Linked DNA regions of Arabidopsis thaliana. The protein of the gene in region 2 interacts with the protein of the main gene of each other region in a pairwise test. Each region holds a gene or a part of one and is shown on either strand. Other genes may lie near its edges.

The links.
Region 1: the proteins of GATA3 (region 2) and bZIP48 interact in a two-hybrid assay, tested with the Arabidopsis thaliana proteins (one large-scale study listed by BioGRID).
Region 3: the proteins of GATA3 (region 2) and UPB1 interact in a two-hybrid assay, tested with the Arabidopsis thaliana proteins (one large-scale study listed by BioGRID).
Region 4: the proteins of GATA3 (region 2) and AT5G51790 interact in a two-hybrid assay, tested with the Arabidopsis thaliana proteins (one large-scale study listed by BioGRID).

Annotation. Positions count from the first base shown.
Region 1 is NC_003071.7:1,329,724-1,333,494, reverse strand, and holds bZIP48 (basic leucine-zipper 48), read right to left. Parts: upstream 1,577-3,771; coding exon 1,076-1,576; downstream 1-1,075. Other genes in the region: AT2G04039 (DUF2996 family protein), read right to left, coding at 1-31; AT2G04137 (phosphogluconate dehydrogenase (decarboxylating), NAD-binding domain protein), read left to right, coding at 887-970, 1,133-1,312.
Region 2 is NC_003075.7:16,550,846-16,555,863, reverse strand, and holds GATA3 (GATA transcription factor 3), read right to left. Parts: upstream 2,720-5,018; 5' UTR 2,385-2,719; exon of another isoform or gene 2,170-2,384; 5' UTR 2,165-2,169; coding exon 1,883-2,164; intron 1,782-1,882; coding exon 1,254-1,781; 3' UTR 992-1,253; downstream 1-991. Other genes in the region: AT4G34690 (uncharacterized protein), read left to right, coding at 1-401. UniProt on the Arabidopsis thaliana protein: Transcriptional activator that specifically binds 5'-GATA-3' or 5'-GAT-3' motifs within gene promoters. May be involved in the regulation of some light-responsive genes.
Region 3 is NC_003071.7:19,410,155-19,414,392, forward strand, and holds UPB1 (transcription factor UPBEAT protein), read right to left. Parts: upstream 2,175-4,238; 5' UTR 1,896-2,174; coding exon 1,587-1,895; 3' UTR 1,276-1,586; downstream 1-1,275. UniProt on the Arabidopsis thaliana protein: Transcription factor that modulates the balance between cellular proliferation and differentiation in root growth. Does not act through cytokinin and auxin signaling, but by repressing peroxidase expression in the elongation zone.
Region 4 is NC_003076.8:21,036,882-21,042,443, reverse strand, and holds AT5G51790 (basic helix-loop-helix (bHLH) DNA-binding superfamily protein), read right to left. Parts: upstream 2,912-5,562; 5' UTR 2,878-2,911; coding exon 2,506-2,877; intron 2,392-2,505; coding exon 2,038-2,391; coding exon of another isoform or gene 1,999-2,037; exon of another isoform or gene 1,934-1,998; coding exon 1,850-1,933; 3' UTR 826-1,849; downstream 1-825.

The DNA.
Region 1 (3,771 bases), on a different chromosome or scaffold from region 2:
CTCCAAATGATCCTCCTGCTATTGTTGCCATAATTAGGAAGAAACAGAAACTGTAATTGAGCTTCTTCAACGATTACAAGATTCGTTGTTCTCAAAATTCTCAGTTTTTCTCCATTTTTTGCCTCAAACTCAAGACTAATGTTTTTTAGTGGACCAAAAGCAAAGGAAAAAAGAAGAGGAAATAAAACAAGAGACAAATGTGAAAAAGGCTGAGCCTAAGATTTGCCAACCACACACACAAAAAAGAGATATAGCATATTTTTATACCTACAAATAAAATTAAAAACACTTGCACTTCCCATTATAGTTATGTTTACTATCGTATGTAAACTTTAGTAATAATATGTTTACGTTGATCTTCCCATTGTAGAAGCACAAGAATAGAAGAAAGAAAGAGTTAAGTGTCGTTAGCTTAATTGGTAAAGACTCTAGGCAAAACTAATATTACGGATTTCGGCCCAGAACCAAAAAAAAAAAATATATATATAGAAGAAGGAAAAAAAATTGTCAATAGATTAGAAGCATGGACTAAATTGACATTTCATAAACTATCAGATAAAATGAATAATATTTTGTAAATTCAGATTAGTACTCCGCAAATAAATTTGATTGAGAACTTCTAACGTGCCCGACTGGAGTAAAATAAGATTCCAAATGACACTGGAGTTTTAGCCAAATTTCAATCACGTGGCGAAATCTTGTTCGTTCTTAAACTGCCAGTTAGAGATGCAAAAAGAATCAAAGTTTAGGGAGTAAACTGTAAATACTTCCTTTTCAAGTAAGTATTTGATGATAATGGCTCCCTGATTAGAAATGTCTCATTATTTTAGACCATTATCACTAAGCAGTAAGCACTATAAGTCTATAATCGCAGAAGATAGATAAAATGGAAGTAGGGTTTTCTATGGGTTTGGGAATCATGGGAAAGTCCATGTCAATGAATATATTGAAGAACGGATTCAAAGTCACTGTATAGAACAGAACACTCTCCAAGGTATAAAAACCAAAATTTTCTGCTTTTGATTGTGTTAATAGATTACGTTTTGTCTGATAAAGTTGGACACTTTGAGTAATACTAATTATCTTCAAACTCTCTTGGAAAACTATTGTTGTTGTTCTTGTTAGATTTCAGTTCACAAACAAGCTGTCGGAGATCAGAAGCTTCTTCTTTGAGTTTAGAGTTCTCCTTCAATACACAATTTTGAGTCTCCGATACGCGGTTCAGCTTATCGATAAGACAGTTGTTCTCGTTGCGAAGCCTTATTACCTGAGACCAGAGTTCATCAAGATGTCTCTGTTTCCTCATCCTTGACCTCCTTGCAGATTCTCTGTTCGAAAGCATCCTTCTCTGTTTCCTCTCGTCGAGTACCATGATGCTTTGATGATGATCTTCGTCGGAAGTTGAGTTGTTGCTTATCATGAGATCTTGACTGTTGGATGATGAGGAATAGTTGTTGTTGTTGATGATCAAATCGTTTAGGTAGTTTAAGGAAGAGGTTGGAGATGAAGGCATGTTTATTACGTTGTATTCCGGTGATAGATATTGGAAATATCCGTTGATTTCTGCCGGAATCATGGTTTTAGTTTGGTTTATATGAGTATGTAAGAGTTTCTGTGTTTTTATTTTGTGTGAAGAATTGGGAAGTTAGTTTTGAAGTAAGAGGAGGAAGTGGACCAAGGGTTTTATAATGGGGTTGTAGGAGAATCATGTAGAAGTGGGTCCTATGGATTATAAGAGCATAGAATAAGAAGAAAAAATGCGATGCTATAATTCGTAATTTATAGTGGTGGAACATGGACAAAGAAATGGAAAGAGTTTAGTCATAACAAAAATATTGTTAGTGTTTTATATATAACTTGTTCATTGGAAGTGAGAGCAGAAACTGCGAGAAGGTTTTTAAAATTTTGGTTTTTTTATATAATTTAAACCCAATAATAGTTAACTTGAGTTGTTTATTTTTGTAACCTAGATTTATACACGTAAACCCTTTTTTATTTTAATTTATGGTAAATTATATTAAAAAAAAATATTTATACAATGTTTAATACGCAGTAAAAAAAAATACAATGTTTAATACAAAATTTTCATATCTTTTAGTTTAAATCTATCCTTAGCATTTGTCTTGTCGCAACCAAGTTTGGATGCTTCCCTTCCCTAGAATGAACTTATAGAGAGAGAGAGAGAGTGATGCGGCTAAACTTTAATTAAAAGATTGGATACGTTTGAGCGCCAAGTTCGATCCATTATATGCATTTAACTTAAAAGATTCGACATGTCTATTGTTTAAAATATAACTAACTAAAGTAATTAAGTACTGACTTGTCCCTCATTCGTTTTCCTTTATAAGTGATCATTAAATAAGAACCCACACTCTACATCGTGGAGAAATATGTGTAGAAATTTTAGTTTGTTAATTTATATCATAAATTATAATTATAATATATTTTATTTAATAAGTTTATTTTGTAATTTTATATATTTAATTTATTATATCATATTTCAATGTAATTTTGCAATCGAATTAATAAATTTGACAATAATTCATCCAATGTTAAAATCGTTGATATCTAGAGAGTGAGACATGTTGATACGCAGAGAAATTCATCAATTCATAGAAACTAATCATAGCAAATTTAGAGGATTAACCGAAAACATGATATATTATGTTTAATTATGATATTAATAAAAATATTTGTATTAATGATTAAGAAGTATTTATGAATATTAATTATGGTTAAAAAACGTAATTTGATGTTTGTTGCGTTATCCCATTCTACATAGGATCTCGTTTGTTTCAATATTTTGGAAAATATAATAATGAATTTGAATATATAAAAGATATGATTTTTGTCATAGTATTTTTCGTTGTGAGTTTTGTTGCATTTAGTGTCCAAGTGAGTCTTTTGAATTTTAGAAGTCTTAGTGTCTTTATGTGTATTATGTTATTTTTTATGTCTTTTACACTACAATGGACATTCTTATCACGAGAAAAATGCTATAATATGTCTTTAATAACTTTTTCATGAACGCTATTTTAGGGCATTGTTATTATAGGTACCTCACATACAGTAGCGTGAGTTCAGTATGCTATGTTATAGTTTAATAACATAGCTATAAAGAACAGTTGTATTATCACGTTTAATTTTCTTAAAAAAATTATATAATATTTGATTTTTCGTGCTATGTTATATATCTCTAATATAGCTGTTGCGAAATGTTGTTTTATCGTGGTTTGCCTTTTTTCAATTGGAAAATAATTAGTCAAATTATGTGCTATGTTATGTTCTTATATCAATTTATAAGCTACGATAGATGATTAAAACATAGCATTAGTCATATGTTAAATATTCTATTACCTGTATTCTTATAGCATTTTCTGAGATGTGATTATAGTACACATAACACATAACCTGCTTTATAAAATCTCATACATTGACCATTGATTAAACATAAGTTTAGATCCAAAATACATAAGAAAAGTCTCAAGCACAAAATAAAGCAATACAGGAGCTAAGTGCATATGTTCTCTTTCCTTGTGTGGTAGGATGCAAAGCGTGTCGTAGACCAAGATGTTGCAGATCCTTACGTGCATTAAGACCATCCTTAGATTTTCCACAATGCAACAATGTGGATACAATACTGTGAGCCACGTTCTTTTCTGTATGCATTACATCCAAATTATGCCTTACTAGTAGATCCTACAATATAGACATACATATATTTTAGAAGTAATTGATGTATCATACTTAAACATATAAAAGCTATTTAAA
Region 2 (5,018 bases):
AGTTTCTCAAATTTATCAACATATCTCAAGCTAAGAAGCTTCAACTACTGGCTAAAGCTAAAGGGAAGGAGCATCAAACTTTTGTGGAGTACACTTGCCTAGGTAAGGCCTCCAGAGATTTCTCACAAACCTATACCTCGTTTCTCACTTGGTGTTTCTTTGGCTCTCTTACTTGCATCTCCTTCGTTTGGGGGTTATGGAACACCTCTAAAACGGATAGAAGCCTAGCCGACTTGTGGTTGGAGATAAACAAGAAGAGTGTGGTTATCCATGAGTTTAAGAAAGAGATGAGTGCCAAAAATGCTCTCTACATGCACCGGCTTGATGAGATTACAAAGGTTGCAAAGCAAAATCAGGAAGATCTTCAAAAGATCGTGGCACTTCTCGTATCTAAAAAGTGAAAGATGGGTTTAGTTTTTGGCTCTTTCATTTTGTTCTTGTTCTTACGAGAATGATTAGATTTATATCAATATCTTTATATGCTAAGAAACCTCTCACATTTTGTGGATGAACACTCTCTTTTGCTGCTTCATGTTTTAACTTGGATGTTTTCTTTTGTCTCCTGCTTATTCCCAAGCAAGCATACTAAATAAACTCTCTTTTTGTGTAGATACATGTAGCTTTATAGTCAACTTATTTTGAGTATGACACAAAGTAGCAATAAAACGGAGACAAGGCCACATAAACACATTAAAAGGATGTTTCCCTTAAAGATTGATATGCAAATGGTGAGATTAAACAATTATGCGGCAGACATAGCATCATACATTTGCCTAAATTTACTTTCATGGGGATTTAACGAAATCGTTTATCTACGATTAGCCTGAAAATTAACCTTTAGTAATTCGATATGTATAAATTAATTACATACCTAATTTTTTTTTTTGCTGAATAAATGTCTAAATTAATTATGCTTGCATCGATTATCAAATAAATATGTCGAATCTCAAGATTTATCAATAATATATATACTATATAGTAATGTTGGAGTTTTCAAGATGATTCTTCCATTTGGCATTTTGTTTACTCAAAAAGTCTATTTAAGCCACTACACATGGACCAAAATCATTCCAAGTACTAGTAGTGGTGGTGGTGGTCTTACATCATTAAAAACACACATTAATTTTGTTTATAGAAAACCATTGTTTACTTAAGACTAGTTCCTGAAACAGTTTCAAAATGTTAAGAAGCAAGTTGTTAAATTACAACACTACAGATAATGTTACAAAAAGTAGGTTTTACCTAAGTCTTATCTACCACTTGCTGCCAAATTTGACTGGGTCTGATTTAGTACTAGCTTCACCTGTTTCTTCACCCAACTCTTTACTCTTTCTTAATTCCAGAACCTTCCTATGAAGATTTGAGTGAATCTCATTCGAGAACGTCGGACTATCCGCCGGTCTGTATTCCGGGCAGAGCCTACCAGACTTAAACCGGACTCCACATGCATTACATAAGGTTTTTGGACCGACCGGACCGGTTCTCCACTGTGGTGTGTTGTTTGTGCCACAATGGCTGCATCTTCGTTGAAACACAAGGACAGTTTCTTGTTTCTTCTTCCTCAACTGCTCTGTTGCTGCATGTTGATGATTGGTTGAAACGAGTGGCCAAACACGACTACCGGTTAAACTGTTCCGAGACCGTTTGGTTCTTGGTTTAACCGGAATTCTTGAGAAGCTTGGTTTGGTTTTATGTGTTTGTGTTAAGAGAAGTGAAACTTCTGGTGATGAACAATCATCCACAACACGAGATACCCATTCAAGCTCTTCCACATCTTCATCCTAAAAATATCCCAAAAAAAAAGAAATCAAGAAAAATATAACTTAAAATCTTTCGATTATAAGAAGAGAAAGAAAAGGTATAAAGAAGTTTAGAAATTTACCGGCAAAGAAGGAAGTTGATCAAAGATGCAAGGTTGTGAACTAAAGACACAATCATGTTCTTGTTCTTCTTGCTCTTGTGAAGAAGAAACAGAGACAACTTCTTCTTCTTCTTCTTTTTGACCTTCTGAGAAATCGAGGAAACACTCAACGGAGAAATCTTCCGGCAAGGAAGAAGTTCGGCTTAAATCTTCCGACACAATCACTTGGTGATGTTTGAGAGATATAGTAGATTCTCCTCTTAGACTTGCCTTTAAGGCTCTAGCTTCTGTCCACAGCTCCATTCACTCTTTAACACATACACACATACATATAGAATTCTTTTTAAGTTTCACTTGACATACTCTGAATTCTCAACTATTACAACAACCATAAACATACGAAAATAGGCTTAAAACTAAAGTTTATAACCTATAACAAAGTCGGCGCATGCAAACTTTCGAGAAACTAAAAAGATGAGAAGAGGAGAGAGGTATGTGGGATATGCTCATCGTATCTCTTTACCTGACAAAGACGAAGAAGAAGGAGAAAAGCTGAGAGAATGGCGAAGAAACAGAGGAAGAGAGATATTCCGATAAGAGAAAAGTAAGAGGGCACTGAACTTAAAGGAGGATTCTTGAAGGGGTTAAAAGGTAAAACAGAGACTTTTTTTTTGTGTGTGTTTGTGCTTCTTCCAATTCCAAAAGTTAAAGCTCTTTTTTCCTATCTTTTTTTTTTGTTTTCTTTTCCCCTAATTTCTAAGTTTGTGGAATATTACAAAATCTTCTTTCACGAATGATACTATATTGGTATTTCAGAATCAATGCTTTTCCTCTTCTTTATTTGTCTCTTCATTTTCGTGTTAAACGGTGTGTCCTTTATTTCAATGTAAAATATGGATCAGCTTAATAAAAGATCAGGATCAAGTCTAATCCACTCGCCTCTATATTTCATTTAAAGCTCACAAGACTTGTTAAGAAATTGTTTGCATACATGAAAAATTAATTGATTATTCAATTTTTGTATTTAGAAGAAAATAAAAGAGATAAAAAAAAGTGATGATTTCTTTTTATTTTCACGTCAGGATTTGTTTTATTTTCTCCAAATTTCTTTGGACCTAATCAATGAGTTCTTTACGTGGATGTTTTTGGCGTGGGCTTATCCTTCGTCACATATTGATAAGTCAGGTCTGTTTCGCATTATTCAATACAAATTTGATTGTTTTTATTATAATTATTGTGAAGGGTTATATCATGATGCTGTGTTCCTTGTCCATGCCAATTTAGCTTGTCTTGTCAAAAGGGTTGACCATTTCTTCTTAGGAAATGTTGAAACATTAAGTTTTACAATGGTGATGAATTTGTTATTTCATAGTACTAACATTAACAATTTAATAGTATACATGCACAATATTTTGCTTGTCGTGTTAAAACTAGTATTATTGAAAGTCACCGATTAAACCTGTGATCTTTTTTGAAAATTTTAAAAATTTTGATATCTAACTAAAGGACCAAATGAAATTAACAAAGTGATAAGAACAATCCAATAATAGCTCAATTCTATACTAATACAATAATAGCTCAAAATTTAATAAAATACAAAGCATGAAATTTATAGAAAGCATCCAATTTTTTTATTTTTTTTGTCAAACAACATAAAATCATCCAATCTAGAATCTTAAAATTGAGTTAGATGTCCCATATACTGCGTCTGAATATAGATAAGAAATTTCATTCAGTCATGAATTTAAGAATATAAAATAATTCATGAAGCAAAATTAATTTTTACATGCATTACCAAGGATATATAAGATTATTTTCGCATTTGTTATGAGAACTGGCAAATGACAAACAAGTATTACGCGATTATAAAACAAACATTGCCATGCAGTCGGTGATGTCCACATATGATCTAGCCAATCTTCTATGTTATGCTATTTTTGGCATTAGATATGAGATTAGGTAACCCAAAGGAGAAAACATTTTTCCGATAAGATACATTAAGTTCATACCCTAATACCAAATCTCATATTGATTACATTTTATGGAAAATTACAGGATAGATATAATAATATCTGAATCCTATTAGAGATGTCAATTTGGATTAAGTCGATGTGTTAAAAACCAAATTAAGATTATCTCTACCGAAACCCCTTGAACCTTTTACAACTTTCCAAACACACAAATTTTTTATAAATAAAATAAAATAAAAACAAATGTTGATTTCAAATTCGATTCAAACACCCAAAAACAAGAGCATAAATAAAGTTCCTTTTAACCCACATTACGCAAAGAAAGAAAAAAAAAAAGAAGTGTGGGTTTTTGGTAGTGATGGGAATGGAGATGGTGCAAACCACCGTTGGAGTGGAGTTCACCAAAGCAACCACTATAGCCAAATCTTTTGAACATTTTATTTTTATTTTTAATAACTATCAAAGTATACTACTTTCCTTCCAATTATGAAATCTTTCCTTTTTAGTATAATTGGTCTTAGTCTTAAAACAAGATTAGGGTTTGGTTTTTTCGAAAGAGTAGTTACGATCACTTAGTTTGGTGGTATATTTTTTTCTGCCAACCTTAGTTTATTGTGTGTGTGGGACTTTATACTCGTGTCGCTATATACACATTGATATGTTTTGAAGATTTTTTATTTTGAAAGTTGGTATATATTCCATTTTAACTTATTTTGATTTTCGTAAAATTAGGGGGAAAACAGAAAAGTTTGAAAAGGGAGCAGGCTGGTGAGGAGTGACGAGAGCGTAATGGGGGAAAAGAGAACGTGTCACATTTTCCTCTTATTCGTCGATTCACGACGCATCATCATCATCACTCTTTCCCTTTTCTTATCTTTTATAAAACATGGAGTAGTTTTTATCATTTTTGACGTCAAGAAAATGGGAGAGAGTTTCAAGTCCTGTAATCAATGCAAGTGGTTTTTGAGTTAATGATTCTTGTATTCGCAATATCTCTAGGCAAAAAAATGTAGAATAATATCTAACCTATTATAAAGTTTTACCTAATAAAACATTAAAAACTTCAATAGATTTACCTAAAATCCAATCTATCATTGTGATGCAAATGTATTGTTCGAATCAATGACATCAAATCGCATATTAGAAATTTAGTTGCTATATTATCACTAAGTAAAATAAATGAGGAA
Region 3 (4,238 bases), on a different chromosome or scaffold from region 2:
AATCGATTCCTACCTCTCTAATACGGTTAAAAAAAAAAAAAAGACAATAGCTAACCGAAATTTTGGATCATATTGTACATAGAAGTGAAACGAAGTCGCAAGGCAAATATTAATAGATATTTTCGGATTTAAATGTCGGTATAATCAAAATTTATAGGAATTACATACGAAAGTAATGAAGGATCACCGAAAACATTTTCTAAAATAAAATAACCGCAATGTAAACCATGAGTTAGTGTACAGATAACATGTTATAGCTAAACTATATGATAAAAAAAACTATATGCTTAATTTTATTAAGCAAGTAAACAAAATATCACATAATTATGTTTTGGAAGAATCGGAAACCATATATGTTTGAGTAATCAAATGAGCCCGTTTATAAGCCCATTTAAAGACTTTACTTGCCATCTCTACACGGTGTTAAAGAATAAATGTGTAGTGCCATGTTAATATTGTTGAACCCCAAATCAACGTCGAGATAATAAAATGTCGGACCATTTCATCACAACCAATTCGTGTCATCTCAAATAAATTAAAGGGCTAAATGATACGTGGCCATCAAACATTTGTATCTGTTATCTATCATTATCACAGAGCGACACTGTAGTCCAACAGCAGGATTTAAAAGCACATAGTGACATAACACAGTTTTACCAATTACTTTGAAAGAATTACAATGAAAAGTAAATTACATCGTTATAATACGTACTATGAAGCTAGTAGTCTTCTCGATAAATTTTCTGCATATCCACTATTGATGCCTAGAACTATTCGAAAATAATCGGTATATTCTTTTTTTTGGTCATCGCAATTTTTAATTTATTTGTAACACCCTAAATGGAGAGCGTAGTAACAACACGTCAACAACAAATAATATGGAAAACACGAATGAAAAAACAAAATATAGCTAACTCACTGTGTTAAATAGTTTAAGGATTAATTTTGATATTTCAAGACTAAAATTCAAGTTCTTTCACTGTAATTTCCAAATCATAGTTTGCAATTATGAACTTTCAAATGAATAGAAATATTGAAACTTTCACAAGTTCGAAGGTGAGCCTGAACTTCGAATTTGGATGCTTCCACTATATGGACTAAAAATTCGGTATTTGAATTCGTGGCCCACGCACTTTCACAGCCCAACGTTAAACATTCTTTTTCAACAGTGTTTTGTCCCTTTATTGGTAAAAAATACCTGTTACCTCCCTACATTTGTATTTTCTCCAACCGACTGAACTTAATTTTATTGATATCATGTTTACAACATAGTTCCTTTACAACCTTTTTAAGAAATGACCCTTTGTTCTTTGCTAATGTAGCACACAAAAACTATTCCCATGGAACAATTATCATGTTTTTTTTGCCGAACCAACAGTCATCTGTTATTTAGATAAGCATATAATACATATATATTTTTGATATTTAATTTTCTGCATAGTCTACAGCAGCAAGATAAACCAAATTCCTTTTCTATATAAGCAACACAAGACAATCACACGAGATAATAAAAAATAAACACGAACAAATAAAAACTAAAAAGAACGTAAAATCCAACAAGATATACAAAAAATATATGAAGGCTTTTAAACACAGTTAGTTTCGGTCAAAACCTGAACCATTGTCTGCATAACTTTCACTTTCATTTCCAAAGCCAAGATATAATCTGCCGTTTGTCTAAAGAGTCCATCTAAACCTTCTGATGTTTTGGTGTTGGGAACAAGCTCTTTTAGCGTCTTCACTCGTCTGTGTATTGCGCGACAAGGTCTTCTAGAAGCTTCTACACTCTTCCTTGGTCGGATCATGATCTTCTTCACAAGTGCCCTTCGAGCCCTTTGTCTTCTCATCAAAACCCAAATTGATTCCTTTCTTTGTCCTTCTAATGTTACACCCATATTATTATTGTAAATGAAAGAATGTTGTGTAGACAAGTGATAACGTTTGCTTACAAGATTAGATGCAAATATATATGAGAGTATGAGACGCCCTTAGTTTATATAGACATACATAGAGGTCAGTGACCTTTATATATAGCTTAAAATGGAGATTACAGCTTCTGAGAAGGTTCTCCTTTTATCTCTCAAAAGAATTGGATGAGAATTTGACAAGTGTCCACAAGGGTGTTTTAAATGTTGTTTTTGATGGATAATTAGGGTTTAGCTTAAATCAGAGGACATGTCATCAAAATACAACTCGATGCACATGCACTCACATGATTATCATCACTACCCAACTCTCTTACATGCTTAATAACACCAACTTTCTTCCCATTCACATCACCTTAAACACCCTGTCTTATTCCTCCTTTGTTGCGCTTTATCCATTTTTTCATTTTATTTTATTTTACTTTCGCAGCCAATTTGTTCTGAGATTAACAAAGTCGGGCGGATTGAAGCAAACCAAAAAAAAAAAGTCAGGCATTAACGAAGAATATAATTATCTTTATGCCATTATCTTTCTAGATTAATTCTTAATCTAATTTATAAGCATGCAATCAGTGTATTAAGACGCTAGCGATTGAAATAGACAGATATATAGGTTGATAAGATGAAAAAGAAAATATTCATATTATGCCGCGCGCGTTAGCAAAAGTCAAAACAACTATCGAAAAATTATCTTATTTTATATTTCTCCCAAAATTTTGGTCTGATTCGTAAACTAATTTAGAAACATACAATATATTAGTGTTTGAGTTTCGCTACAATGTATATAGTTTGAATTGATCACCACTGTCGACGGAGATGATAGATAAAATATGACTATTTGGTTGTCATAATGCTTTTGCTTTTATCAAGTCGTTATATATCTCATTATTTCCAGCTGATATAACCCGGCGCAACTAATTAAGAAATATGAATAACCTAATGATATAACAAAAGCATTTCTAGGTGTTTTATTTTTTTGGACAAAGTAGATAACGATGTTGGATAATGGGATAAGGTCTTAATATAAAAAGACACAAGAACATGCAGTGATCTTCTGTGTTCCTTTGAATTTATGGACTTTCGTATTTAGGATTTTTATTTTAGTGAGTGGATTTGATTGAAGCACCTTAAAAGATTATGTTCTTTCTCGTCATGTGTTTATTTTTAAGAAAAGAAAAAGAAAAGCAGATTCGTGGAGCGATGTTGATCAAACATCCTCGGAGACTATAGATTCAATGTATATCTCCCATCGCCGTCAACACGAAACATTGTACTTACAAATTCTCTTAGACATATATGTACGTCTCTGATAATTGAGATATATAAATTGATCATTAAATGAGAATTAGCTTAACATTCGCATATGATTGATCAGTGTATGTCTATATTTTATAGGTTTCAAGGTAACGTGAAAAGTACCTAACTAATTAAGGTAGGTTTATACATATAATAAGTAGCCATAATGGAGTGTTTAGTGGTCGAAATTGATCGCTTGTTAGCAGCACGTTGTATGTATATTAGCTTAACGTGCATGCACATGTTCTTATATCCTCCCTATTCGTCTAGGCCACCCAACACATCTATATCCCAATTCACAATTTTTTATATATATTTTTTATTACCAGAAAATTATTAATGTTTCGGAAATTATGATCGAGTAATTATCTTATGTATAATTTTTACGAAATTTCCTTTGTTAATATCATAATAGTTGTTTTAACCAGAAAATGGTATATATATCAGAAAGAAGTAAAACAATAAGAAGACCATATCAGCAGAATCTATTATATGTTGAATGTTCTGTCTTCCAATAAATGATACAAAAATAAATCTTAAACTAGGATTTAATCCGTGGTACACCACGGGACAAATATTTTTTATATATATATATATAATAATATGAATTTTACGGTTTTAGTTTAGTATTAAAGTTATATAATTTTATATTAATATTGTAACTAAAAAAATTGGTGATGATAAAATAATAAAATAAATATTTAACATGTGTTATATCAATCCAAACCCGTCCTGCTATTCATATCAATCTAAATCCGTCCCGCTATATTTTTTGTCTCATGATTTTTTAATTTTTTATAAGTTTAAATATTAGTTGTTGAATTAGTTATGATTGTGATTTTATACCGAAAAAGTTATGGACTTTTAATTTCATGGAATATTCAAACCAAGATAAGGAATGTTTTTAGGTGCACATATAATTGGGTTTGCTCATTTTACGGGATTGTAAATGTATTTTGGTTTGTTTCACAATGTTTGTTTTAATTGATTGCCGATATTTAATAGAAATAATTTAAA
Region 4 (5,562 bases), on a different chromosome or scaffold from region 2:
ATGTTTTTTTTCCTTCCAAAATTCACGGGATAGCTAGAAACTTATTTCTACAATGTTATTTACTGCTAATTCTGTAGAACCTTGACTACTTCTAAAGTCAAATAATCGTTGACTAATATTCGCCAAGTGGATTTTATTCTCAAGGATATTTGGTAAAATCGTACACCACCATAAATATTCGAAAGCTGACCATAGTACAAGCGGATATTTTTTGGTAGTACATGCGGATAATGATATGTATGCCAACTAATCAGCATCAGAAACGGGCCAAACCTCACACTCACACAACACTCAACTAGATAACTTTAGGTTAATTAACTCTTCTAAAGCCAGAAACTCATACATACGTAAGATTAGAGCTTTTTTCTTCCACTATTTATGATTAGGTGAGCTGTCTTAAATCGTGCCCTCGATAATTGGATTTCAGATTCATAAAAGGGTACTTCTCGAACTAAAAATCGGAATATATGTGACCAATTTATTATTAATAAATAAATAGTTTACCAAATTTTTTGTTATAAATAAATTCGAAATTTAGGGATCGGGCATAGACATTTTCTTTTAAGCTTTACGGTCATCCACTTGAATTATAGATAGAACTAGTCAATTCGGATATGCTAAACTTTTTCTTATAACTTTTTTTCTTCTGGAAAAGGGACTTTTAAAAAATAAAATTATGTTTTTTTGTCATCAGAATATTATTTAACCACGCATCACCAACAATTGATTTAAGTATTGGTCTAATTAGGCTGTCTTTATTAGAACATAATCCAATTTGAAGATCATGAATTCGTTGGACAGCATCTTTGTACTTAACCATTAACTAACAATAATTAAATCAAAAGTATATTAGGGAGATCTCAACCACTCAATCGTATCTTTATTGCTTTAACATTCGACTGCCATCCTCGCTAATTTTTATATAATTAAGATGTATTTAAGCCATAATTTTACATAAATCTAAGAAAAATTATTCAACGGCAAAATATATATGACCGAAGTTATGCGATACTGTTTATGTGCTTCAGTGCTTCAGTGCTTCTGGTTGAGGCCGAAGAGGCAAAAGAAACCTAGAGTTATATATACGTCACTATAAAATATAGATGAATATTTGAATGTACTTTCTTCTTCTTCTTAACCCAAAAAAACGTTTTCAGTATTCCTTTCCATATATTTCAGTAATGTCATGTAATTTCATTTATGAACAAAATATGGCATGATTAGAAAACTTGAAAACCGTGAGTCAAATCAAATTATGTGCATGCCATATTATCTACTAATATATATGCGGGTTAATCAAATGAAAGTTTCTTTTGATCAGTGTTTGTTCCTAGCTATAGGTCAATGTCGTACGAATTTAGTCAGTAAAACTCACAAGATATCTACTAATGTTGAATGGCAGCTGCTCCATTATTTAACCTGCATTACCATGCTCCTCTCATAAAATATCTTCATTGGTAAGTCTCAGAGAAGTGTATGTATGCTATGTTCAAAATATCTATCAACTATGGTTCATGCATATGAAGTATAAAAAGACACCGATGAGACTCTAGTCTTTATCATCGATTGATGAATATATATATTCAAAAATGTATAAAGAAATCAGGCGCATCACTATATTTTTGTTTTGTTGGTGATCAAAAGATTCTCCTATATAAAGAAGCATGCATGAAAGTTTAGAATTTGCTAATTCAATCTAATCAACCAGATCATTTTTACAAAAAAAAAAAAAAAAATCACTCCAAGTAGTGAAGGACCAAAAGAACACACCCTTACGGACACTAAAACAAAGAGATTGGGACAAAAGCATCATTCAATGAACATATTCTTATGACAAATGTTAGTTTTTTCAGTGCCTAGTCGTGGAAAGTACTAACTGCTCAATTAGCTTCTGCTGCAACCAAGCTAAGTCGAAGCAATCAAAGCTATTTACCTGTGGATATATCATATATATGGATACATAAGAATAAGCATATTTACACAATAGATAAGCTTACACTAAAAAACTCTACAATAACTCCAAATATGTAACCGTACCTCGACTTGTATAGTGTACATGAGCCTCTCGTTGACTCGTGCTGTTAAAGAGCTGATGACTTCAAGTCCTTGCCCGTGAAGAACTTCAAGAACTCTTGAGAGTGGCCAAGCCTCGAGACCTGATGCTAAGCTGCTCACAACCACCTCGAAGCCGCTCACACACGGTTGCACCATGACACTAGCTGGTTCCGATCTACTTGATCCAGATCCGGATCCGGATCCAGTTAGACTAGTAGGGTCACCAATCTCTCGCTTTAGCTCGTCTCTTCTTGCGGAGAGATCTTTTATCCTTGTTTGCGTGTCTTTGATGAAACTTACTGCTCCGTTTACATGATCTGACATGGCTCTCTTTCCCTGCGAAGAAAGAGCCTGAGAAAACTAAAACCCTAGAGAACAAAAATCTCCCATCAATGAACTTGATAGGAAGATTGGGACTTCAATGAGACTATTGGAGTAAAATATATGTACCTTGATGTATTTTAGAGGTAGCTGACTACGAAGAGAGGCGAAAAGGATCGCCATTTCTTGTCTTCTTTGTCGTTCGATGTTGCGGTGGAGAAGCTTCTTCTCCTTCTTCGTTTCATCTCTTTCTTGAGGCATATGACTCTGGTGCCTTGTCTTTTTAGGATTGTTAGAAGGATTCATGGGTTGAGGTTTAGAAATGGTAGATCTCAGCAGTAATCGTTTTTTTTTCTCTCTTGTTTTTTCCAATGAACTAGTTAGGTTTATAGGAGAGACTGCCCTTACATAATTGGGTCTGTCTTCTTTAATCTTGGAAGAAAGAAAAAAACAAAGAAGACTTACTAAATAATGCAGCCTCGGGAGAGGTGTTGTTTTCATCTTTAGTCAAATAGTTTGGTTTGCTGTAATGTTTCACAAGCTCTTTTACACGTGACAGAACTTTATGCTTTGTATGTATATAACTAGCGAGTGTGTGCAAATCATTTCTCTGGCTTTTTAATGTTGGGAGTGTCTTGTAGAAGATTTTCTGACGCGCTTTATAATTTCAGATATCCAAGAAATATGAATGGTAAAATCTTGATTAGTCTAAAACGGATCCCAATATGATCTTGATCGATATAAATCTTGATATATTTATATGGATCAAGATCTGGAATTTACATTCCAATTTTCTTTTATATGATGTGTTTCATATATAAAAAAATACATAGAACATTTTAATTAACTTTAGAAAATATATAATATTACTAGTAAGATCAATGTGAATATCTATACATTTTATCACATTTGGATTTATTTATTTTTGCTTGAACATTATGATCTATCATGCAAATTGTTTTCAGTTTTCTTCCAAATTTTTGCATGTGATTTGAAGATGACTAATGAAGCATTTTTTTCTTATGGTACACTGGTATCTGCTTCGAGATAGAACAAAAAAATCAAATGATATTTGATCAAAATATCTGGATTTGTCAATTGTGATAATGGATGAATAGTCATGAGTCGACTAATCGGTAGAATTCTCCATAGAAACTTTCAAGGAGATAAAGAGGTTGCTCAAATTAGAAAGTTTGTCGTTGAATTATGTGTGATTTGTTTGACAAAAACACAAAACAACGAAATGATTATGTGTGGTTTCTATTAGTTTTGGCCCAATAAAACTTTATGGTGGCAACAAAGAACATTCGGCAAATAAGAACGTGTACATGTACTCAAATAATATAATCTCATGCAAGAGAAGAGATTATTTATCAATATGTTTGTGAAGATGTTCGCAGTATCAATGAACACACAAATGTTGTCAGTATTATAACCGAACTTTCTAACGCAGTCTAAGCATGAAAATCATATTGTTATAGTATACATTAGAATTGCGGAAAATTACGTACATATCCCATAACAGTTAAATGAAAAAAAAAAGAGAACAAGAATACAAACATCATTTAAAAATATTGGGAATTCACTCTCATTCACTTGGACAGAGAAAATATCTTATCAGTTTCTTTTGTTGTTTTGGCAATTTCGATTGTCATCGGGTAAAACTTCTAGAAACTAACCTCACGATATTTTTCAATCAAAATATGATAAAGATAAATAGTAAAACCAAGGGAGACACATTTAATAATGGGGATAAGCTAAGTGGATAGGATGAGTGAAGTGGAGTGGACATAGTTAAAAGATAGGCCTAGGACAGCTCATGCAACTTCAAGACAAGGTGGAAGAGGAGACAAGAAAGATCCTGGTTATTAATAGATGGAAACCAGCTGTTTCATTTGTCCTAAAATATCCCAGCCTCATTAGCATCTCATGGATCCCACTCTCCCAAATTATTTCGAGCATGCATTATGCCACATGTGAGTTTATGTAGTTATTCATTATAACCTCAAGTTTGATTTTTGTTCTGTGTGTAAGCCGTGTTCAGTTACAAACCAACCACTTATAATAATCTAACAGTATTTTCTAATCAAATTGTTAGAAAGGTAAACAGTAGAACTGCCGTCAAGGAAGACGAATTTGATGTAGTAAGGGACTACTTTTTTTTTTTTTTTTTTTTTTTTAGTATGGGACTACTTAAAGTCTTAAAACAATAGTTTTGATCGGAAACAGAAAATCTAGTCGATTCGTTTTTGGGAGATTTACTCGATAAATCTTTGATTTTGATGATCCTAGTGATAGTTTCTAATAGGTTGAGAGAAAAGAAAATAATAACGATAACTAGAGCTTCCGAGTTGTATAAATACAAGATTCTTATTTATAAATCGAATTTGAATTTAATTTCATAATATTTTAAAATAATTAAAAACAATTATCGGAAAATTCCAAAACATTTCCAACAGATTTTGATTTCCAATGTTGTATATTCGACGGTCGAATTCCGTCAAAAATCTCGAAAATCCATTTCTAACGGTTTTCCCCGTAGGATCTTGCATGTTTAATGTTTTCTTGTTGTATATGTTTAATACATAGTATTTGTTTTCTTTTCATAAAAAGTTCACTTAACCGAATTTGTTTTGAAATTATTAATGAGACTTTAATAATATATTGTCTGGCAATAATTTTATGCTTTTTCAGTTAGGTTTGTTTTGTAAAAGTTCATCATCATGAACATATCGTTGTATATGTCGCCCAAAAAAATAAAACTTTTAAGATATTTTAGTTTTGTGAAACCAAAATGCTAACTAACCGCAAGCATTTTTTTATATAAAAAATTCACAAATGTATTATATTGGAATTTCAATAAAACTTTCACTTGCGTTGCTAGTACAACGTAACTCACTGTACTATACATTTTGATAAAATATAGTATCAGTTTTATAATATCCAAATATTGACCTTTAAAAAGATGGAAAATACTTAGCTGTTCATAATAAGAAACTCATATTTTTATCCTACAAATTAAGATTAAAGCAGATTGAAGCTACAAAAATCTTTATAATACTATATAGTTTGTTTGCTTAATTTTGTATATACTTTAATAGCTGTTTCATATATGCTTCATTTTTTTGTTTGTAAACAGATTCTTATACGAGCACTAATATGTGCAACTTAATGAGTTTAATATAT